Lepisosteus oculatus: one gene and its partners. The protein of the gene in region 1 interacts with the protein of each later gene in a biochemical or structural test. Links are inferred from orthologs where the notes say so. Each region holds a gene or a part of one and is shown in the gene's direction. Other genes may lie near its edges. The genes, in order: ahr1a, nr2f1a and aryl hydrocarbon receptor nuclear translocator-like.

Region 1 (7,936 bases):
CATTTGTCCAAGCAATATGAGCGTTTGGGCACTTCTGTACCTACTGTACAGAAAAGATCTGCTGTTTTTGCAGAAAAGCTACAAAATGTGGTTTCAGTGCACAGGCAACATCCATGCGAGAGATTCCCAGATGAGAATATATGCTGTGTCAGGTCATTCCCTGCTTTCATTGAAAATGTTTAAGGCTCAGCGTTAGCCTGGTGTACTGCAGCAGTGATTTGTAAGTGTGTACTGCCAAATGATCTAAATTTTTTTCAGTTTTAATTTGGGATGAGCCACCACAAAATGTCCTTATAAATGCCAGTGGTGTGTTGGTACATCCTTTGAAGCGAACAGTATTAAACTAAAGAATAAATATGTACTTAAACCCAGGGTATTAAATGAATCTACCAAACCCAATTAATTGTAGATCATGGATGAAAACAGACAAAGAAATCAGATTACTATAATCTGGATGTCAAATTGGGATCCATCCACACGATAAACTCTTTTTAAACAATCTTACAGCACAAGTTAACATTTTTCATGAAATAAAGGTCGTCATGTTTGACAAAGCCAAACATGATATTTCCCAACTGCTTGCTTCATCGGGAGTCAACAGGAGAGCACCTCCACTCTATGCCAACTTGATTTCTGACCCTGGTTTGTGGATTTCTGGTCCATCACCGAAGTGCGTGGCCCGACTCCAGTTCTTTGGGCAGAGGTCACCAGGCAGGAAGAAATTATCGGAATGTACACAGGCCCCACGGCCATAAGGGAAATAGATGTGCTTGTGGTCCGATTCCTTGCATAACAGTGTAACAGAAAGATCCAAAATGTCCAAAATGACCTGGGTGCCCCAAAGCTCTCTCTCAATGGATGTGAAACTTTGCCCCATTTTTGCCGGATCCAGGCAGCGTCTGGGTGTCACGATGCTGTACAGTGCACTTGCTCACAGGGGTATATAAGAAGGGAGAACACTACAAAATCTTTTTGCACTCTTTTCCTGATCTTTGTGTAATTTTGTGCACCTGTATTCATTAAATTTTACCACAGAAAAGGGTTTGAATATTTATCCAATCTTAGCTTTTCTATTTTTCTTTTATATTAATGATCTTTGTGTTTTTTTTTCTTTGTATTTTTTTATGTGTGAGGCACATTGTGTATATACTATAACAAATATTTATCGCAATTCCAAAGTGTCGTTTCTGCACGATTTAAAGCAACAAAATATAGAAACTGCAAGGGTCTGAATACTTTTGCAGGGAAAATTGTAAATGTCGAAGACATGCACATAGGAAATGACATAACAAAACCGAAGTTTTATACAAATGTATTTGATTGAATTCCTTACATTTATGTGTCTAGGATCGTTCTGACTGTCAATGAGACATTCCATTTTTAACACCATAATTGTGGGTTTAAATGAGACCATGACGCAATATTTTGCAGCCAGAAAACAGACAAAATACAAATTCCCTGTTTTATTCTGAGCTTTCAGGCCTTGGAGTTAGACTCATGGGTATTTAACCAAGCTGCTGCTAGTCGGGCAATGCTAAATAACCATATTACACACAGAAATATATTTAGCTATTGTAAAAGTTTCAAATGTCCAAAGTTCAAAGCCAATTTTTTATAACCCTGGCTCGTCCAGAGACAAAGAAATTCATTATGGCAGTGTATGGCTCCAATTTCACATGAATCTTTATGAGCTTTAGGAACAGGGACGCATGAGTCATGGGAAAATTGCTCGTTATTTTCTTTAAACAAGACAAGTTGTTTGCAATTATTCCTGATAAAATGTTTCCTGCAACACTACAGAAACAAATTAACGACTGTTTTGTTCACTTACAGTGGTCTGCTTTGCCCCCAGCATTATTCCAAATTGTAGAATTCAATTAGGAATTTCAAAATGCAATCAGTTGTCTCGGTCAGATATTGGATTACACTTAAATGTGGTTCATAAAACATTGAAAAAAACTACCAGGAGGTTTCTTAATGATGTTGCATTGTACAAGCTAATGAATGTAAGTTCTAACAAATGCTGCACATTACCAGTGAACTGTATGGCATCTTCATAATGATAGCCCTCCTCATTCAGCATTTCAAGAAAATGGTTTGAAAGAAGAAGATGAAATGAGAGATCAGCTTGTTATTGCATGTTCATTTTCTTTTGCGTCTCTCGTTTCAAATATAAAATTAGGGCAGCACGATGTAGTCCGTAGCATCGCTGCCTCACAGCACTGGGGCCCTGCGGTCGATTCCTGAGCTGCCATCTGTGTGGAGTTTGCATGTTCTCTTCATGTTCATGTGGAACGTGTAGAAAACACAAACATTTACGGTTTTATGAACAGAATGCGTATTTTTTGGGAAAGCATTTAACAGTGGCAGTTTTTAAATAATAATAATAATAATAATAATAATAATAATAATAATTGCTTACATTTATATAGCGCTTTTCTGGACACTCCACTCAAAGCGCTTTACAGGTCATGGGGATCCCCTCCAGCACCCCCAGTGTGCAGCCCCACCTGGATGATGCTCCAGAACGCTCCCCCCACACTAGCTCTCAGTGGGGAGGAGAGCAGCGTGATGAAGCCCGTTCAGACGGGAACAGGAAGCCACGAGTTGCAGGGCAATATGGCTGCTATATTGTTTCTTATTTAAATTTGCTGAGAATGCAATAGATATGTTTGGCGGGCTAAGTTTAATTTAGTGGTTGACACAAAGGATATGAAACCAGGAGCTTCCTGGTTCAGCTCCAGAGCCACCCAGTGATATCTGAAAGCACGCACGTACTGTAGGTCCTGTGACTTGTTTTGTTATTGTGGCCATTTTGTTTCATTTTACGATTTTAGATGTCTTGACAGAAATTATTTTTTTTAATCTTAAATATTTTTCTCTTTGAAGAACATAACATAGAGTACAGTACAGCTCTTTCATAATGTACAATATTTTTTGCTTTCATGCTATGGTCTTTATCCAGTACAGTGTCACAGGGGAGCCCATCCCAGCAAGGGACAGGCACAAGGCAGGGTGCACCCTGGACAGCACGCCGGTCGGTCCATCACAGAGCAGACAGAGACACACACCCACGCGGGTCCATCACAGAGCAGACACAGAGACACACACCCACGCCGGTCCATCACAGTGCAGACACAGAGACACACACCCATGTGGGTCCATCACAGAGCAGACACAGAGACACACACCCACGCCGGTCCATCACAGAGCAGACACAGAGACACACACCCACGCCGGTCCATCACAGAGCAGACACAGGGACACACACCCACACAGCAGGGCCACTTTTCCCAGAAGCCAATTCAACTTTGGACTAGTAGCCAATTAGCCTTTGGACTGTGGGAGGACACCAGAGCACCTGGACATTAGATCATATGGACTCCACACAGGCAGCACCCCAGGCCCCAGCACTGTGGGGCAGCAGTGGTAACCACTGCATCATCACGTCGACCTTACAGGACTTCACGAATAAGTTAAATATGTTGAACTTTATAGATTGACGGCAACACACAGATGACCGGTTTGTGTCTCTGTGAAAGATATCGTTGTGCCGTGTTTTAATTGAGAGCTCTTGGGTATTTTGTCAGAAAAACACACTGGAGCTGATGAAATAACGCGGATCTGTTTAGAAACTGGATATGCTATTGACGCAGCAGCAATCTATCAGAGCCGTACAGCAAGAGACAGGGGCACCGTCTCTCAGTCTCTCAGCTATGTGGGGGCGTTCTGGCCCATTATTAAGTGTAAATTGAATATACATCTGTTACGATCCGATTTCACAGCCTGTCGGGGCCAATTTAAACGCAGGTAACATAAACTAAAGCACACATTTATCCAAATATAGCGCACATATCATCACCAGCTGAGGTAAATTGAGAAACTAAAGACTAAAGGGGAAAGCCTCGAATTTATAGGGCATATGCACCAAGTTATTATATTTCCCCAGCGTAAAAAAAATATTTAAATAAAGTAAATAAAATTAGAACACCTGACTTTCTCAATCCGCGATTCCTCTGGCACTTCAATGATCTAATTAGGTATGCAAAACAACTCCCTGTATTGCTGGAGCGATAAAAATAATATATCCACAGAAATAATCTAAGCAATCAGTTCCTTCACATTAGATTTGAATCTGGTTTAATCCTGCTAATCCTATATTGTTTCCTTTTAATACCGTACAGTACGAGAAAAATGACGTCAATTCGTAGACGTGCGGGTATTAAGCGTCAATGCACGCTTTTTAATACTTGGGGAAATTGCAGCACTGACAGATAGACAGACGATCAAACCACATTTACGAAAAAAAAAATACAGATGATTCTATTATGATCAGAATGAACCCACCACAGCGCCCACGCCACTCTTGTATGACCTTTTGTTGGTATCTACAGTTTTATTTCTGCTTCAATTGGGATTTGCAGTTCGTGATTTTTCTGTCACCGCAAAATTACAACCGTATCGCAGCATGCAGTTTTCCTCGAATTGGTAAACGCTGCCTGCTAATCTAAACCGCGCAGTTTACCGGCAGGCTGCGTTTCCCTGCCGCGACCTCACCAAGATGGCCGCCGCGCCGGGACACCCGCCTCCCACGCCCATGCCCCGCCCCCCGACGTCCAGGCGTGCGTCAGCGTCATCGGGGCCGGGACGCAATGCTTGGGCGTGTGTAACCTGGGTCCGTCCAGCTCGCAAAAAGCGACATTGATTCGCGCACAGGGGGGAAGGAGAGAGGGAGAGACCAGTCTGCTGGCAGGGAGGAGGGGACGCAGGAACCCGAAGCAGCAGCAGCGTGCGGATTCAGAGAGTCGGCCCGATCCTTCGGAGCAAGAACAGGAGAAGGGAGGAGAGGGGGAGGGGAGGAAAGCTCAGGTGGTGCCCCTGTCTCGAGACACCTGGCCGCGGGAGAGCGCCCGGCAGCCGTCACGTGCGGGAGAGGGGAGCGCGCGTGGAGAGGAGAGAGCGGCTCGAGCTGGGGGGCGCGAGGAGCCCGGGCGCGTCAGTTGCGCGGTTACAGCCCGTCTCGGTTGCGTCAGGCGCTCCGGCGAGCACCAAGTTCACGGTCTTACTGCGGTGACCTTTTTCTCTTTTCCTTTTTCCGTCGCTGGAGGAGGAGGACGACGACGACAGGAGGGAGGTTTGACAGGGTTTCCCGCGACGGGACATGGTTCTTAGCAGAAAATCGCCCCTCTTGATCGCCACCTCGATCCTGTCGAGGACACCCTGCTTATTTTTGTGAAAGGCGAAGTGCCGTCGTCGTCGTTGTTGGTTGTCATTGATTTTTTTATTTTTTTTTGGAGGGGAGGAGGGAGGGATTGTGGGATCTATAACCTTGATACCAACGCCACCAGCAGCAGCGGCAGCGGCGACAGCGATAAGGGCCGTGAAGCGAAAGGGAATTTCGTGTCCTGCCGAGAGACCAGGATGAGCAACAGTACGAGCAGCATTTACGCGAGTCGGAAGAGGAGAAAGCCCGTGCAGAAGAGGTAGGACCCTCCGCAAGCACGCCTATGCATCCGAAAGAAAGAAAGAAAGAACCCCCCCCCCCCCCAAAACGATCTTCCAAACACGTCGGACGGTCTTGCCGGCTTTTCTTTTCAAATAGGTGCGCGTCTCGCGTGTTTGATTCGTGTTGCGGCAGCCGGAGGTCTCCGTGGCGTTGCTCGCTCGGAGATTAGGAGGATTTTTTTCTTTTCGTTTTTTTTATCCGGGGGGGGTGAAATACTTATGTGTTGTTGTTGTTGTCGTTGTAGCAAAGTAGAACCCCCCCCCCCCCCAGCAAACCCAAAGCCTCCTTAACGTTTCGCATTGGTCCGGGAGGCCGGAGACGCCGCCGCCGCAGCCCTGCGGCCGGAGTGGCCTTTACGCAGCCGGTGCGACAGGCCTGGAGACGCCGTGTGTCTGTTCGTGAGGGGTCGGGGCGCAACACCTGCAGGACCGCCGTGTCCTCCAGCCGGGCAGGGGAGGGGGGGGGGATGTGAAATGGGAGAGATGGTATTCGGACCCCTGGCGGCCGGTGACGCACCCAGCCCGTCTGTGCTAGCATCTGGAACCGTTCGCGGCTTTGCTCGCCCACTTCGCCCTGGCGGGGTCCGTGCGGAGGACAGGCGCCCTGAAGCCGTGCCCTGCCCGCCCGCCCTGGGACACGGCTCTGCCCCTGGCCGTGCACAAGCCCCATCCGTGCCCCGGGCTGGGCGGATGCACGGCCTCGGTCCGGTCGCTTTCCGCTAAGCCTGCTGGCTCGGCACTGATCCACGGAGACCCGCACAGGCCGGGCGACGGTCCCCGCCTCGGAGCGGCGACAGGACGGCGTGTCTGGTGTGCACGGCGAGACAGACCCCCTCCAGTTCCCGGTGCCACGCTTTCCGCGCTTTTGCCGTCTGCTTGCATGTACATGCTGTAGATATCCGACTTGCATCGGGCTTAGAGCTGTGCAGACAGTGGCGAGCAGAGACCTGGAAAGCTCATCAACGCCTCCTAATGACGCAGCTAAATGGTCGGATGAAGTCGCCCGGAGCTCGGCTTGCACTGGAAAGCCCAAATTGTATCCCGACTTTTGCAGGGCTTGAGTTCCCCCAAAAAGTAACCGAATGCTGGCCATCTCCAGAGCTATTAAAATATTCATGTGGAAAGATCAGGCCTGGGAGGAATATTTGGTGCACTTCACCTTTCTTCATAGCTGCAGGGCAGCCAGCACCAGCATTGTCTAGTGCCGGTGTGCGGCGGGGTGGGAACAGAGTTACCGACGCGTGTGGATTCACATGAGAAAGGGATACACATATGAATATGATGATGTGACACGTTCTGCGGCATCTGCTGTTCTGCACCCGAGGGGTTGCGGAGACGTGTTATCCGCGGCTTGAACGCATTTCCACAAGTCGGTTTAGCAAAACCTTAAATCGGTTCAGAAATGAGTCGAACGCAACTCATCCGTGCCCACGGTGCCCTTTTATTAGCATTAGCATTAGGGAAAGGGAAGGCATCGCAGATCCCTGCATATTATGATTGATGAGAAATACAGCGCTTTACTTGGGCTCTCTTAGAGAACAGTCAAACTCTTAACACGGGCGAGACATTAAAGCTTGAAACATACTTTTGGAGTTGTGCTCATCGCTCATTAGTGGGATTGAATGTTAAGTTACATTCAGCGTTCTTTGACGTACCTGAAACTCTAACCCATAGATTAAACCACAACCTCAACCCAAAGCCTCTCTTTCAAACACCAAAAGATTTTTTTAAGATTAGGTTTTTTTTTTTAAAAAAAACGGTACAAATGATTCAGATTCCTTTCATATGGCCAGTGAAATCTTGGCTCTATCCGGGCAGTGTAGCCTGTTTGGAATAGTTTGGCCCAAATGAAAACTTTAACACCCCCGTGAGTCACAGATTCTAAAATGAGACCTTTTCTGCTGGATGGGCCTCTTGCCGGTGCCTTGTGCAGTTTTTAAAAGGGTAGAGTCCCTATTGTTTAGACGGCATCAAAGCTATTTTGGTAGAAGAGGACAAGTCAAGCAATGCGCTGCTTTCCATAACTCCATTAAGCAGCAGGGTTTTAAGAATGAATCAAAGGGCTTGTTGATAAGTCAAAATAGTGCACAGAATGTGCCATTCTGTGCCTGAGAGTACGTGACCTGTTTGTTTACAGCACTTCCACATTAAGCACTTAGAGAGAGAGACCTCGGCATTAGATCAACGTACTGAACTGACATCTTAAGAATTTGCATCCGAGTCAGTCTTCATTTCCACAACAGTCAGACCAGATAGATTTTCAAGTGACGCATAGAGTATTATCCTGTCGTGTGCTCATTTTCTTAGTGGCATTTGCATGCTGCACTTTTGCTGTTACTTGTGTTTTTTAGTGTTGTGGACAGTTGCTTGAGGACTACCAGGGGAAGAAAAACCAGTCGTGTCAAAGCTCACAGAGAAAAATAATCATCTC
Region 2 (7,510 bases), on another chromosome or scaffold:
TAACATTTATGTGTTATGCATAATTAAAGTGTTTCAGATCAAATCCGCATTAAAAGTTAATACAAGTCATTTTATGTGTTTCGAAGGATCCGTTTAGAATCAAAGACGCGTGGAGTATTTTTAGATTTAATTTTAAATTCTGTTTGGATATAAAATATTTATATAGAAGTTTAAAGTTTTCCCTACATAAAGCATAATTCATTTTGCACATCTCTTAAACTAGATCTGTCAGGTTTTGATGATGAGTTGTATTTATTTCTGGCTAATTGATTCTATCTTAGGAGTTCGTATCCAATAATAGGAATCGTTTTTTTATATATTGTGTATATATCAAAGGCTGCAGACTACACCATTAGTGTTTAACTTCCATATATCACTTGTCTCGCATAGTAAAAGCGAACACAAGTTTTAAAGTGAATTTTAAATTAACAGCGTTGAAATGGTGCAAACTCAGAAACATTGTCTACTTTTTTTTTCTCACTACTTGATTGCTGGCCGTCTCTTTCCTGCATTCCTTCTACCGAAAATAACACCTCGTGCTGCCGGCTGGTGAGCGAAATCTAGGAGTCCTGTCATGTTTTTCAAATACATGTTTTCGGTTAGAGCAACAAATCGTATTTGCAGCGTTATTTTGCGCGAGAAATCGTGGATCTTAAGCGAAAGATGCGGTTAAATGGTTTTATTTCAAACATCACCCAAGTCCTACGCGTGCAAATTGGCCGAGCAGTTCAAAGCAGATGTAAACAGACATGGGAAGGCGAAGACAATGTACATGAGATCGGCTGTCTTGGTCATTTGTAACTCTTTCTCGTGGTAGAGAAACATAAGACGTGTTTTTACAGGTGTCTCCTCGACAGAGGCCTTTAAGAGTCGTGTAAAGCAATAAAAGCCGACGTTAATTTTAACCTAAATGGTCCAGCGATTTGATAGATCCCTTTTAATTTAGCGTGTGACAACTAGATCACCAAACGAAAACCAAAACAGAACGCAAAAAGGGACAGGTCATTAAAGTACCGAAGCAGACAGTGAAAAAAAATATATAGTTTCAGAAAAAGAAAGAACTGTTTGCATTGTTGTAACCACCCACTAAACGTGTGCATGTCAGCACAGAAGTAGTAAGCTGGAACTCATGTGCATTTTATTTGAATTATTGCTTGAACATCCTTTACATAATTCAGGACTCTGATTATAGAGGTATAGCTGATCGTGCGCGTTACTCTATGTATAAAACTGTTTTGTAACTGATTGTTTTATTATTATTATTATTATTATTATTATTATTATTATTATTATTATTATTATTAGCCTGTTCCCTGATGCTGGCGTCACGTTTTTGGCTGGAAATATGGACTATACTTTCTTTTGTTGTGTTTACGCTGCCTCTTTAATTGAGATCGGAGTAAGTCACACAACTTTGAGATAAACGCTGTGCATACTTATTCGGTCAATGAAGCATTTATACTTGTAGTATACGAGTATACTTGTATGTCGTGTGTGGTTACAGGTAAATGTGTTGCCGTGATGGATATTATTTTTTAATGAAATACTTTTATTTCCTGCGGAGTTACATTATAAAATGTCATGTAGTCTCTTTTCTCACACTCTGGTACTTGACATAGAATTTGCTGCTGTGTTACACGCGTTTAAAGGGATGCATTCAAAGCAGTAAATTTCAAATTGAGGTAAATAATTCGGGTCCCTGCTAAAGAGATTTCCGTCTCAGGCCGCTTTACGAGTTTTCCTCAGTACACAACTTTTCTCAGCAGCGGATTAAGCGTTTATGAGGGAGACAGAAAGAAAGTTAATATATATATATATTGGAAGTGTCCTGTGGAAATGTGTTTACTGTTCTCATGTACCTAGAGGCTGAAAAGATGAGCAAAACGACCGGTTAGTGACAGTCACTTGGCAATACTCTTGGCTGCGCTACCCTTGCGACTCTGTTCGGGGTCGAATTCGAGAGGAATGGAAATAGCAGCAGTCACAGAATTAGTGCAAAGCTTTGCGCCATTTACGCCTGTACGATCGTTTACAGTCGACTGTAAGAATCGTGCTTTGAAATTAGAAGAATGCAGGTTGCGAAAGTCAGCCAGCGTTTGTCAGCTGGGCTTTGCCTGATCGTCTCCGCTTTTTTTTTTTCTCCGACCAAGTCGATCTTATTGCTGTCCTGTGGTCCGTTGACACGACAGTTTAAACAAACACGCGGCTATCGATCTTTTCATTATATGATCAAACAACAAACAACGCAGGTGAGAAGCTTACAAGTTGGAAAATATAGCTCTTTCCTGCTCTGTGCGCTCTAATGGCAGAAATAGTGGACAAATAAGAGCAGATAAAGATCTAGAGCAATAAACAACAACACAAAGGCGTGTATATAGATATAGATATAGGCCTATTGATAGAGCTAGGACTGCCTATACATTCATACAGAGACGGTTTTGTTCATATGTATTGGCTAAGGTAGTGCTCTGCTGAATCGTGATTTCTTATAAAACTGTCTCACGTGTTTGAATTGAAATAAAATCAACAAAACGCACATACTTGCCGGGCTGAAATGAGTTTTCAGGTGCATCGGCTGCTGTCCACTCTTCTGGAAGTACAGTCTGCGCCTTTCTTTAGTGTCCTACTGTCCACTTTTCCTCAGTCGCCTCAGCGTTTTCGCGTTATCCTTCTCCCGTCGTCTCTTATGCGCCCTCCTCTCTCTCTCTCGTCCCAATCTGTAGAGTAAAATCTTGATGATACACTTACAGAACTTTCCCTTTGTCTGGTTTAATCTTATTCGTTTCACCTTTTCACTAAGCAGAAGCCATGGACAGTGTATTTGGTACGCTGGTGAGAGGAGAGGAAAACGACCACTGTTGCAGAGTGAATAACACCCTTTTCCTTTCCACTAGCTGTGCATTGTACAATGGGAGCGCACTGCAATGCATTGTTCTACCTCTGCGATTTGTACATAAATAAATAAAACTTCAGGAGCTCTCCCGCACTTCAACGTTTCTCGAAAAAAATAATAAAACTACACAGCATATACAGTATGTAGGCTAAGTGTTTTGTTTTCCTGCTTCCCATGATAGATTTTTTGTTTCGTCGCTGACGAGCTATTTAAAAAAAAAATAAAGTACACCGACGATGCAATAATGATAAAAGCGCACCAATATCACAAGGATGTGATTATTACTGCTGTGCCTTTTATAGAGCCTTCTGCAAACACGCTGCTTGTTCTGGATGTTTACATTGCTTAAGGAAAGTGTGCAATCATAAAACATTTGTTGCAATTAAACTGTATAATTAACGCACTGAAATACGTAGCGAATAGAAAATTAAACCGAAACGCGAAGCTGAACGTGAGGAGATATTTCTTTAAAAGGTTTGGAAGAATATATAATCACAATAAATTATACAGTACTGTACCCTGAGATTGTGTACTGTACGCTAGATGGCACCCGGACCCAGTTGTTTTAGGTTTGGAAAGCACAGGATTCAGTAACTACGTACAGTTACAATCAGATTCCCTCATACAATCCGGTGACAACTTTCACTTGATTTTAGTAATAATCCTTACAGCTAAATATGTCGGAAGTGATAAGGATCTGTTTTAAAAGCAAGCATTTCTTTTACAAAATGGCACATTTCTCCAGTTCCACATCCGAACTTACACATTGCATTGAAACCCACCTCCTTTTCCCTGCAATTGCTCTCACGTCCGTACGTTTGTGCAATAAATAACCATTTCTTTATTTTTCTCGCGACCGTTACTTTTCCCCTTCCCGGGCCGGTGGCGAGAACGGAGGCGGCGCGGACACACCGCAGCGACTCTCCCCGCAACTCTGTGTGTGACTGGCGGGCGGAGGGGACGGTGCTGGGTATAAGCATTAATAATTAAGATAAGGGCTCCTAACAATCCGCCGGCAAACTTTCCGGGGTTCAGCCGGAGACGCTGCGCTTCGCCAGCCTGTTTATTTATTTCACGTGCGCTTTTTTTTCCCCGTCTAAAAAAAATATATATATATTATTTTATTTTTTTTGGCTATTCTATCCGGGATTTCTTCCTCTCTTTTTTTTTTTTTTGTGACAATAGACGACCCATACTAATCAGGTCTCAAAGTAAATAGCAGCGCAGGGCGAGCTCGATGTAAATGGTGCTTGTCAGAAGCCCCAGTCGTAGGTAGCAAGGAACGAGGACTCTAACCAATGAAGTAAAAGAGGCTTGGCTAACCTTAGCCTCTCATTTCTCTCCCCCCCAATGCAGGGCTCTGACCAGTCACTCGCCTTTGATATCACTCGCCAGCAGCCCCTCGCTTGGCTCCTTGACATGAACACCATATAAGGCGCAGCGATCTCCATAGAAACGTGTCAGTTTCAATAGTAGTGTCAAAGTTCACTATATACAGACATTCGCGCAGATACCCGTTTCGGAAACATTGCTCTGCTGGTCTTCCCGTTTAAACGCATTCATTTTTGGGTCTCTCCTCCTTGCATATTCTATTAGTTGTTTTTTTCCCTTTCTCTTTTTTTTTATCTTTTCTCTTTCGCTCCGTTCCTGCTGGAGAGGTGAAACTACAGGGGCACTTCAGCGACGTTATTATTATTTTTTTGTTGCTGTTGTTGTTGTTTTTGTTCCAGATGAGTTTTATTTAAAAGACATATATATATATATCAGAGAGAAAATTCCGATCTTCGTTTTTTTTTTTCTTCTACTTCCACCAGTCAAGACTGGAGTAAAAGGAGCCGGGAAGAAAGAAGAGGATTTATTTTCGCCATACTTTGGATCGCGTGTTTTTTTTTTTTATTTATTTCTCTGCTTCTCAGTGAATCCGTCCTGCCTACTATTAGGCTATTTTAAAGCAAACTCTGTGATCTGTAAGCTCTCGTTCCCTCATTTTCCAAGATAGCTTTCCTGAATGGCTGACTGCAATTTACCTTGGAACTGGCCTCCCGATACTTGCATATCCTGATCGGGTGCCTTTCCTCTCGCCACTTCGAATTTGAATGTATTGATCGTCCATTTCTCCCACTTTGTCTTATGTGATCGCCTGCTCCGGCTTGACTTTGCGCTCCCCGTGTCTGAAATCTCGTTTTTTCCCCCCTCTCAAAACCCCCAGCGATCCGCTCGCTTTACAGCACTTTTCGGGCCCGAGATATGGCAATGGTAGTTAGCGTCTGGCGAGATACGCAGGAAGACGTGGCCGGAGGAACTCCGAGCGGCCCGAACCCAGTAGCACAGCCGGCGAGGGAGCAGCAGCAGGCGGCGTCCGGAGCCCCGCACACTCCGCAGACACCAAGCCAGCCGGGACCCCCGTCAACGCCAGGCACCGCCGGGGACAAGGGGCAGAGCCAGCAGAATTCAGGACAGAATCAACAGCATATTGAATGTGTGGTTTGTGGGGACAAATCCAGCGGGAAGCACTACGGTCAGTTCACCTGCGAGGGCTGCAAAAGTTTCTTCAAGAGGAGTGTCCGAAGGAACTTAACGTACACATGCCGTGCCAACAGGAACTGCCCCATCGACCAGCACCACCGCAACCAGTGCCAGTACTGCCGACTGAAGAAATGTTTAAAAGTGGGCATGAGGCGGGAAGGTGAATATTTTTTTATAAAACTCTTGCTATTGATTCCCCCAGACGTGTCGCCCTGTCGTGCAGGGTGAAATAATTGTAGTTTTCCTGTCATATTTACACGCTTGCCGTCCCTTTAATTTTAAGCTTATAATGCCTTGTTTTTTTTTCCCTCTTACAGTTAAAGCTGTACGGCGGACAAGCTTATCCTTTTGGGACATTAGGGGGTTTAAACAAAGCAGTCGTATTTGGACTGTTACAGTACGGTTTCGATAAGTCTCAGCTCTGCACGGTATTTTTTCTGCGTCGTGTGCATTGCTTACTTTTGCCGTAATCTTCGGATTTGTAACAATAAAAGCCCCCCATTTGACCCATATATATATATAATAATATTACCGAGGGACCTGGTTACAGTACAAAACTTGGCGGCTTTACTTACTCCGGCGTGTATTTCTCTTTATAAATCGTGTTGTACAATAGCTGATTAATAACAATACCAATAAAAATAATAATTTGTTAGATATCAGCATTGGTTGAATGTTGGTCGAGGATGCAATGGGGGAGAGGAGCGATGGCTTGTATTTCTGATCTGTTTCATGGTGAGAACAACAGCAATTCTCCTTCGATTTCACGAATTCTGCAACTTCGCAGATATGAGCCAGGAGCTCCAATCTCTGTTCTTTCACTACACTATTTCCTAATCACAACATCTGATGTTCAAAACAGATGCGAAATTTTATATGTATATAAATTCATTTGTAAAATAATTCAGTCCGTCCCCTTGTAATTGTGTCAATGTGTCTAAGACTTCTAAGGGAAAATGAGGCAGAGAAGAAACAAATATGTAGTCGTCCTTAAAAATGCAAGCATGATTGCGCTTTGCATTCAGATGGTTAATGAATCCTGTGTTTAGGCAGCTACACAGTTGTGTATTCACTGTGTATAGATGTCTGAATGACTTCCTTCTACCAGCGTTCAAGAAATCGTGCCATAAGTTCCCTTAATGTTTTCATATTGTAAGTAATGAATTTCATGAAAAACAAATTCTGAAATGTAACCATTTCTGCACAATAGCAGAGTATATATATATACATCAAGAGGACTGGTGCGTGAACAGGGCTAAGTTAAAATTAAATTTAAGGATCCTTTTTAACTATTTAAAAATACGATTAGAACTGTTTTATGGGTATCGTGATCAGTGTGTGGAGATTTTTTTTTGTAACGGACTGGCTGTAAAAAGGGCTTTTCTGGACGCAGGGTCGAAGCAAGACACGACGAAGGGTTTTTTTTTTTATTTTTTCATCTCCTGTCCACAAACTCTGTGTTTACCGGCCCTGGATGCACATTTCCTCTCCTTTCTCTTTCTTTTTGTCAGCGGTTCAGCGAGGAAGAATGCCTCCGACCCAGCCGAACCCAGGGCAGTATGCGCTGACGAACGGGGACCCCCTGAACGGCCATTGCTATCTCTCCGGATACATCTCGCTATTGCTGCGGGCCGAGCCCTACCCGACCTCTCGCTACGGGAGCCAGTGCATGCAGCCCAACAACATCATGGGGATCGAGAACATCTGCGAGCTGGCGGCTCGCTTGCTCTTCAGCGCCGTGGAGTGGGCCCGGAACATCCCTTTCTTCCCCGACCTGCAGATCACAGACCAGGTGTCTCTGCTCAGGCTGACTTGGAGCGAGTTGTTTGTGCTGAACGCGGCGCAGTGCTCCATGCCCCTGCATGTGGCCCCTCTCCTGGCGGCGGCCGGCCTCCACGCCTCGCCGATGTCCGCGGATCGGGTGGTGGCGTTCATGGACCACATCCGCATCTTCCAGGAGCAGGTTGAGAAGCTCAAGGCCCTGCACGTCGACTCCGCAGAGTACAGCTGCATCAAAGCCATAGTGCTGTTCACATCAGGTGAGTAGCGGCAGGCGGACAGAGGGGTCAGCGCGGACGGAGGGTCGCCTTT
Region 3 (8,000 bases), on another chromosome or scaffold:
CAGAGGTCCTACAGTGTTCTTGGGCTTCGGACACCGGACTATAGCAGAAACCTACACAGCGAACGTTTTCAGGTGTTCAATGATGTTACGCGTAGAGCAGAACTAATTTTACACAAAAGGTTGTTGAAGTTCGTTGAGATCACTACTAACCTCACGCACGTTTTCAATTTTCCACACTTTTAGAATTAGCAGCAGCTTCGGCTGCGAGACGAGACGAAACGAGGGGTACTGATTTAGATCCAAAACCTTTGCGGAAGGAAGACTTCAAAATATAAATGTATTTTAAAAACAACTCGTCATCTGCATTGAGCACCTCCATTGAAGGCGATGAAGGCGGTGTTACTGCGGCAAATGAACGTCATGGGAAATGTAGTTTTTTATCTCCCGCAATTCTTTAAATACGAAGGAGAGTTACGACGAAGAAAACATCAACTCCCAGCATACCATGCGCTGCGCTCGCAGGGCGCGCGGGTCTGACGTAAGGTGAGGGCGAATTTAAAACACCTCATCGCGTTCTTTTAATTTCTCACAAAAAAAACTATATAGTTACATATTTGTGATTATATGCAGTAAATATGAGAGTAAGGGGTTATCTTTACGAAATAAACGTTGTTACCGAAAGCCATAATTTGGACAAATTTAGCTGTAAGCATTCGCTCTTTATCGCAGATGTCCCCTCTCTACAAAACGACGTCTGCCCACCTGAGAAATTAACGACAAACGACTCCGGTTTTAACCAGAATTACCTCTCCTTCCAAGGCGTTTCGCCGGTAGAGGGTCACTGTAGATATTACTCTTTCGCTATTTCATAAAGAAATTTTTGAGCCAGATTCCAGTCTCCGAGCTTGTCTCCCTTTCTCCCCCTTCCCAGAGAGAGTCCATGAGGGAACACGCCCACTGCAGTCGTCGCCACGCCCCCAGACCTAATGAGCGCCAATCAGCAATGCTGATCGACGTGAGTGATAGGGGAGGCAACCAATAGGCTCCACAGTAGCGTGAGGTAAGAGGAAAGGCCCCTCCGACGATGGCAGGTTTGTCCAATAAAGAGCGCTAAACCGTGATAGGCGTCGGTTTGAACCAATCAGTGCAGCCAGAGGTTCTGGCGGGAGCTGACCTGTCAAGGGTTTGTATGCCTAGAGTTTACAACACGTGGTCGAAGCTCTTCTGTAATTGCTGAACGCATTATTCTTGAGCAGGGCAATGTGTAAGCAGCGTGGCTGTCAATGCCTGGCACAGATACCTATAAATGTACAAGAATCCACTCTGTCTCAGTGGGTCAGTGCACTCCTCCTGGTCAGAGCTGGGAATTCTGAGACAGGACACAAAACACAGTCGTTCTTCCAGATCCTTTTATTTCAGCAACTCCTGGTCTGGATAAAACTGCACACTGCTCCCCATGGTCCAGCCCTGCCCCGTCGCCCAGTCTACCGCCAGTCTCCCAGTCTACCCCCTGTCTCCCAGTCTACCGCCTGTCTCCAGCTCTGCCCCCTGTCTCCCACTGTGCCCCCAGTCTCCCAGTCTACCCCCAGTCTCCCACTCTGCGCCCAGTCTCCCAGTCTACCCCCAGTCTACCAGTTTGTCCACTGTCTCCCACTCCGCCCCCTGTCTCCCAGTCTACCGCCTGTCTCCCACTCTGCCCCCAGTCTCCCAGTTTGTCCACTGTCTCCCACTCTGCCCCCTGTCTCCCAGTTTGTCCACTGTCTCCCACTCTGCCCCCTGTCTCCCAGTCTACCGCCTGTCTCCCACTCTGCCCCCAGTCTCCCAGTCTACCCCCTGTCTCCCAGTCTACCCCCAGTCTCCCAGTCTACCCCCAGTCTCCCACTCTGCCCCCAGTCTCCCAGTCTACCGCCTGTCTCCCAGTTTGTCCACTGTCTCCCACTCTGCCCCCAGTCTCCCAGTCTCCCACTCTGCCCCCAGTCTCCCAGCCGCTGGGGGTGCTGCTCTCAGCCTCAGTTGCTGATCTGCTCCTCCTGCCAGGTGGAGGTGGGGATGGCACTGTAGGGGTCGACCACCATCTGGGCGCAGCGCACCACCGTCACCAGCAGGAAGAAGCACAGCAGGAAGAGGAAGGCCAGAGCGAAGCCCTTGTCAACGTCCACCGGGAGCTGGGGAGGGGCATCCGTGTCCATCTGGACCAGCTGTCCTCCTGGTGTTACAGCCCTGTTTCTTAACCACTGGACCAGCTGTCTTCCCGGTGTACCAGCCCTGTGTCTTCACCTCTGGACCAGCTGTCCTCCTGGTGTAACAGCCCTGTGTCTTATCCACTGGACCGGCTGTCCTCCTGGTGTAACAGCCCTGTGTCTTATCCACTGGACCGGCTGTCCTCCCGGTGTAACAAGACCTTAACACCTGGACCTGTCAGGTCTCCTCACTTGAGCAAAGTCTCGTCGAACTGGATGAACTCCATGTTATTACTGTAAACATATTAAACAATCAGAAAAGCCCAGGAATCAAACAGCAGAGTGACCCGCGGGTCTCTCGGTCCGCCCCAGGCAGTGTGCGTGACAGGCAGTGCGAGAGTCGCTCTCTGACGCCAGTCCGGTCCTCCAGCGGGGTGGTGGCTCAGCAGTGGCCCAGTGGGATCCAGTTCGGTTTGGGTCCCAGCTACAGGCTCAGGACCGGGGTTCTGCAGAGCCCTGTCGAGACTGAGAGACGCAGGGGGGTGAGTCCCATTGTGCAGGAACGGGAGGGGGCTCATTATGGAACGCAGGTACGGGTGACCCCCTGACCCCTGACCCCTGACCCTGGCGCTAACACCTGTACAGGGCAGCTAGCTAGTGAAAGCAGCATAAACGTGCCCTGAACCCAACACTGTCACACGCTGGGGAAAAACGAAACAATCCTTAATCGGAAATTCAAGGAATTTTAACAGCGTATGCAGTGACTTCTTGCCTCTCCGAGGCCAGATCCCAGAACTCCAGTAGGGAACATGGCGGATCAGCCGGTGTGTGTGTGGGAAACGGCGGCCTCACACTTACCCATGCCCTGGTTAGTGTGTGTGGTCACACAGCGGCGGTATCGCCTCGCCGCTCGCTCCTGCCTTCGGGATTCGGGAGGGTCTGCAGGGATGCACTGCTGCCGGAGCGATCCAGCTCGTTCTGGACCTCTGCGCTCGGCTGCGGGAGTTTTCCTCGTGTGCGCCACTGTCCCCCCCGGCTCATGAATACTTCAGCACGCTCCTGGTGTTGTCTTTCGGCCCGGCCCGCTGCCGAGGGGAACCCGATCCCGGCGCGGTGCCGCCGCGGCCCGCTCCACAGAGGGCACCTGCTCCGAGCCGTGTAACCCGGCACACGGCAACCCGTCACGCTTCATGGGAGTACTGGGAGACAGGGGCCATCCCCGTGGAGACAGCGTGAAGCCAGCCAGCTCCTCTTTCACAGACTCTGGACCAGCAGCAGACACTGCTAGTGTACTCTTTACTGCGTTTACCCTCATCTCACTGGGCTGGACTGCACTGGACTGTGCTTTTACCCTGATCTCACTGAGCTTTACTGTACTGTACTGCACTTTTACCCTGATCTCACTGTGCTTTTACCCTGATCTCACTGGGCTGTACTGCACTGTACTGTGCTTTTACCCTGATCCCACTGGGCTATCCTGCACTGCACTATGCTTTTACCCTGATCTCACTGGGCTTTACTGCACTGTACTGCGCTTTTACCCTGATCTCACTGGGCTGTACTGCACTGGACTGGGCTTTTACCCTGATCTCACTGGGCTTCACTGCACTGTGCTTTTACCCTGATCTCATTGTGCTGTACTGCACTGTACTGTACTATGCTTTTACCCTGATCTCACTGGGCTGCCCTGTACTGTGCTTTTACCCCGATCTCACTGGGCTTCACTGCACTGTACTGTGCTTTTACCCCGATCTCACTGGGCTTTACAAAGGACAAGATTTCTGTGACAAGTTATTCAGTGCAGGGATGAGTCAGCAAACAGCTGCCCCACGGCCCCTTTGCAAAGCTAACGAACAGGAATGATAAGCAAATGTTTTCATAATACTGTAGGATTTAATGAGCTGCGTTACTGAAGCGGATACCCTGGTTTCAAATTCAACTTCTGAAAGAGCTTTATTGGCATGAGAAGAATGACGTGTTACCAAAGCAGACACAATCAACACAATATTTGCATACACCACATAAAACATTATTGTGAGAGAGGGTTGGGGTTTTCTTTAACGCTTCTAGGATCAATTGACGGAAAAGTAGCTCCTCTCCTTCACCTTTTGTTCCTGTTCTCGTGTTTGTGTTTATGTTAAACACTGAGATTGCAGGTCTGTACTCGACATAATTAATCAGAAACTCGCCTCTCCACAAAATCACTCTCTCCCTGCAGGGACCGCGGAGGATGACAAATACCAGATGTCGAAATATCTTTCACAACAAGCGCATTTCCTGTGGAAAAATACAAAAGATCTCGATTAAAAACACTCAAACCGCCCCAGACTGTCCCTTTAAACAATTCTGTGTGGCGTCACCGATTTCGGCCCGCCCCCTCAGATCATTCTAGCCTGGTGTGAAAGGCGGGATCTCTCTGTTGCCTTTGCTAGATTCCGAATCTCTATTGGCCAAAAGAAAGGTACGTCCAATCTTTGTCATCACTGATTGGACAGAGGCACCGCCCATCATTTTAACACGTTTTTAATCCGTTTTGTAATCAAAGAGTTCGGTTGACGCGCGGGCCTCCGCTCCAGACTGCCATCTTGTTTCAAGGGAGGGTTTTCGCTGTGTGTTTTTTTTAAAAAACAAAAACATAAGAGGAAAAAAAGTATCTTTCGAAAAATAAGAAAAAAACCGACAACCCGTGTCTCACGCTGTCCCACACCGTGCGGAGGCGCCGAGGGCTGGATGTTTTCTAACGTTCATGGCCTCGACTTCGGCATCAGGTACGAAGCCCGTCGATTGCGTGCGGCCCCTGGGCGAGTGTGTGTCCCGGGGGTGTCAGAACAGGCCTGCCAGCCCTGAGCCCTCACGGGGCAGAGCCGGGGGCTCTGGGGGTCACCGGGCGGGGTTTTTTTTTGGGGAGGGGGGTCTTTCCGCTGGAGCCCGGCTGTCCGCCACAGCCTGGACAGCCCGGTCACTCCCGAGCCCACAGGGACGTCTGGCGAACCGGAGGGAGGAAACCTCTCTCTCCTGTCGCTGTCCGACTGACTGGCTGTCGCGGGAGGGTTTCGCCGAGGCGATGTCTGAAGCCGGCTGGGTGCTGGCACTGGGTGGGTGCGTGGGGAGGGGGCTCTCTGTGACTCGCGTCGCGCTGGTCCGTTCACTGGCCAGGACAGCAGCTGAAGCTAAAAGGAAAAGCGCTTCAAAGTGTCAGAGAAGTAGCCTTGATGATGATTCCCGACTGACAGCACTGTAAAACCTGGAGTGGATCAGACTGCTGCGCACTGGGAGTCTAACTGACAGCACTGTAAAACCTGGAGTGGATCAGACTGCTGTGCACTGGGAGTCTGACTGACAGCACTATAAACCCTGGAGTGGATCAGACTGCTGTGCACTGGGAGTCTGACTGACAGCACTGTAAAACCTGGAGTGGATCAGACTGCTGTGCACTGGGAGCGTGGCCCGTTTCCTCAGGCACCGATGTCTGGGCGCTCTGCGGTCTCGCTGTGGCCGGAGACTGACACTGTGTGACCCTCCTTCTCTCTCCCTCTCTCCCAGACATGGCGTCGGAGGTGTCCGGGCTGAGTGCGGGTGGGGCCCCTGGTAACCCGGGCCTGGGCGGGGCTGCCGCGGGCACCATGGTGCAGAGAGGGGCCACCAAGAGACGCGCTGTGTGAGTACAGGGGCGATGTGCTGCCTTCTTTTATATAGTGCCTTTCAAAGCAGCTTCTCAAAGCCCTTTATAGTAAGAAAGCAAAATCATTTGAAAGAAGACGATGATAATAATTGACACTTATATAGCGCTTTCCTGGACACTCCACTCAAAGCGCTTTACAGGTAATGGGGATCCCCCCCACCAGCTCCAGTGTGCAGCCCCACCTGGATGATGTGGCTGCAGCCAGAGTGCTCCAGTACTCTCCCCACACACCAGCTCTCAGAGTGATGGAGCCAGTTCAGAGAGGGGGGTTATTAGGAGGCCCTGACTGGTAAAGGCCAGGGGGAGATCTGGCCAGGACACTGGGGTAACACCCCTACTCTTCTCAAGAAACGCCCTGGGATTTTTAATGACCACAGAGAGTCACGACCTCGGTTTTACGTCTCATCTGAAAAACTGAGCCTTTTTACAGTATAGTCTCCCTGTCACTATACTGGGGCATTAGGACCCACACGGACCGCAGGGTGAGCGCCCCCTGCTGGTCTCTTTAATACCTCTTCCAGCAGCAGCCTCAGCTTTCCCAGGAGTCTCCCCTCCAGGTACACTGGCCAGGCTCACACTGCTGGGCTGCAGTGGGGCTGCCAGCTGGGAGCTGCAGGGTGATGTAGCTGCTGGCCACAGAGGCGAGGCTGGTGGCACAATTCAAAACAGAGCAGTTGGAAGCAGTAGAAGGTGCTGGAAGTCTATGCGGACCTGATGCACTGTCTGCCCCAGGAGTGTGAAGGGCGTGTTGAGGGGTTCTGATGGAATAATCAGCCCGACGGCTCGCAAGCAGGTCAGGAGGGTGTTGTGTTCTGCTGTCTGCGGGGGAGTGTCACCGGCCGGGAAGAGCCGTTTTCATCGTTCAGATCCAGGCCTTGCGCTGCTCGGGGCAGGTCCGGTTTCCATTTCAAGTGCGGCGCGGTCTCGCCCTTTGTGTTCCGGTGCGGCCCGGTGGGCTGCGGTTTGGTGCCCCCCCCGTCCCGCGAGCCGGGCCCTGACTCTCGCTGTCTCTCCGCACAGACCTGACTTCGATGAGGACGACGACAGCGGCGGCGGCGGCGGCAAGCTCTTCAGGTGGGCACCTCTCCGGGCAGCGAGGTCGCCGGCGCTGGGGCTGGAGGGCCGCCCCTCGGCCTGCTGGGTGGCGCCGCGAGGCGGAGGAGGGGGGGTGTGAGAGTGCGTGAGCGTGCTGGCAGAGCTGTGTTTGTGTCCGCTGCTGTCGCCGTTTCTGTTCGGTGCGGATGCGGGACGCCTGTGCTGGTCTCTGTGGTTGTGCCCTATTAGCAGCAGTACCAGGGGACTGGTGAGGGAGTAATCAGTGCACTCTCCTTTCTCCTCCTTCCCCCTGCTCATTCTCCCTTTCTCCTGGCTGCTCCTCTCTCTTCTCCCTCTCTCGCTTGCATCCTGCTCCTCCTCCTTCTCTTGTCTCTCGCCTTTCTCTTCTCTCTTCTCTCTTTCTTTCTTCCTCCTCTCCCTCTCTCCCCTCCTTTGCCTCTCTCGTCCCTCTCTTTCCCCCCTCCCCCCTCCTCTCCTTCCCCCTCTCTCCCCCTCTGCAGGTGTGATGATGACCAGGGAGGCTCCAACGACAAGGAGCGCTTTGCCAGGTAAGCCGGAGGAGTCTCCCCTGTCGGGATGCACGCTGTCCGCAGCCTGAGCGCTTCCTTCCGCTCCGGGACACGAAGAGCAGCCGGCCGACAGGCGGGAGCGCGTCCCAGCGCGCGGGGCCCCGGGGGGCCGGGGGCTCCCCCTCTCTGCGCCTCCCCTGCTGGCGGCGCCGGGTTGGGTCAGCCAGCCTGTTGCTCTTCGGATCAGGAACAGGCCCTCCTGGAATGTCTTTCTCTGGTTTTCCGTTTGTCACAGAGTGCCCTGTCGTTCTGCGTCTCTGTATTCTTACGATTGAAAGGCATCAGACTCCTAGAGCTGCAGAGCAGTCCGAGCCACTTCAGAGTTTACTGACGCACTGACTGACTGACTAGAGCACTGAGTGACACACTGGCCGACTGACCGACTGGAGCACTGAGTGACACACTGGCCGACTGACCAACTGGAGTACTGAGTGAAGCACTGACTGACTGACCGACTGGAGCACTGGGTGACGCACTGACTGACTGACCTACTGGAGCACTGAGTGACGCACTGACTGACTGACTGACTGACTGGAGCACTGAGTGACCGACTGGAGCACTGTTTGCAAAGAG

Evidence for each region.
Region 2: the proteins of ahr1a (region 1) and nr2f1a form a complex in vitro, tested with the Homo sapiens proteins (2 studies listed by BioGRID). The link is inferred for Lepisosteus oculatus from reciprocal best matches to the Homo sapiens genes AHR and NR2F1.
Region 3: the proteins of ahr1a (region 1) and aryl hydrocarbon receptor nuclear translocator-like form a complex in vitro, tested with the Homo sapiens proteins (14 studies listed by BioGRID, with this or other methods). The link is inferred for Lepisosteus oculatus from reciprocal best matches to the Homo sapiens genes AHR and ARNT.

Annotation. Positions count from the first base shown.
Region 1 is NC_090705.1:2,282,291-2,290,226, reverse strand, and holds the start of ahr1a (aryl hydrocarbon receptor 1a), read left to right. Parts: upstream 1-4,672; 5' UTR 4,673-5,421; coding exon 5,422-5,483; intron 5,484-7,936. UniProt on the Homo sapiens protein: Ligand-activated transcription factor that enables cells to adapt to changing conditions by sensing compounds from the environment, diet, microbiome and cellular metabolism, and which plays important roles in development, immunity and cancer.
Region 2 is NC_090698.1:73,494,100-73,501,609, forward strand, and holds the start of nr2f1a (nuclear receptor subfamily 2 group F member 1-A), read left to right. Parts: upstream 1-4,264; 5' UTR 4,265-5,140; coding exon 5,141-5,579; intron 5,580-6,930; coding exon 6,931-7,458; intron 7,459-7,510. UniProt on the Homo sapiens protein: Coup (chicken ovalbumin upstream promoter) transcription factor binds to the ovalbumin promoter and, in conjunction with another protein (S300-II) stimulates initiation of transcription. Binds to both direct repeats and palindromes of the 5'-AGGTCA-3' motif.
Region 3 is NC_090722.1:6,977,106-6,985,105, reverse strand, and holds the start of aryl hydrocarbon receptor nuclear translocator-like, read left to right. Parts: upstream 1-4,659; 5' UTR 4,660-4,866; coding exon 4,867-4,888; intron 4,889-5,663; coding exon 5,664-5,778; intron 5,779-6,822; coding exon 6,823-6,876; intron 6,877-7,358; coding exon 7,359-7,406; intron 7,407-8,000. UniProt on the Homo sapiens protein: Required for activity of the AHR. Upon ligand binding, AHR translocates into the nucleus, where it heterodimerizes with ARNT and induces transcription by binding to xenobiotic response elements (XRE).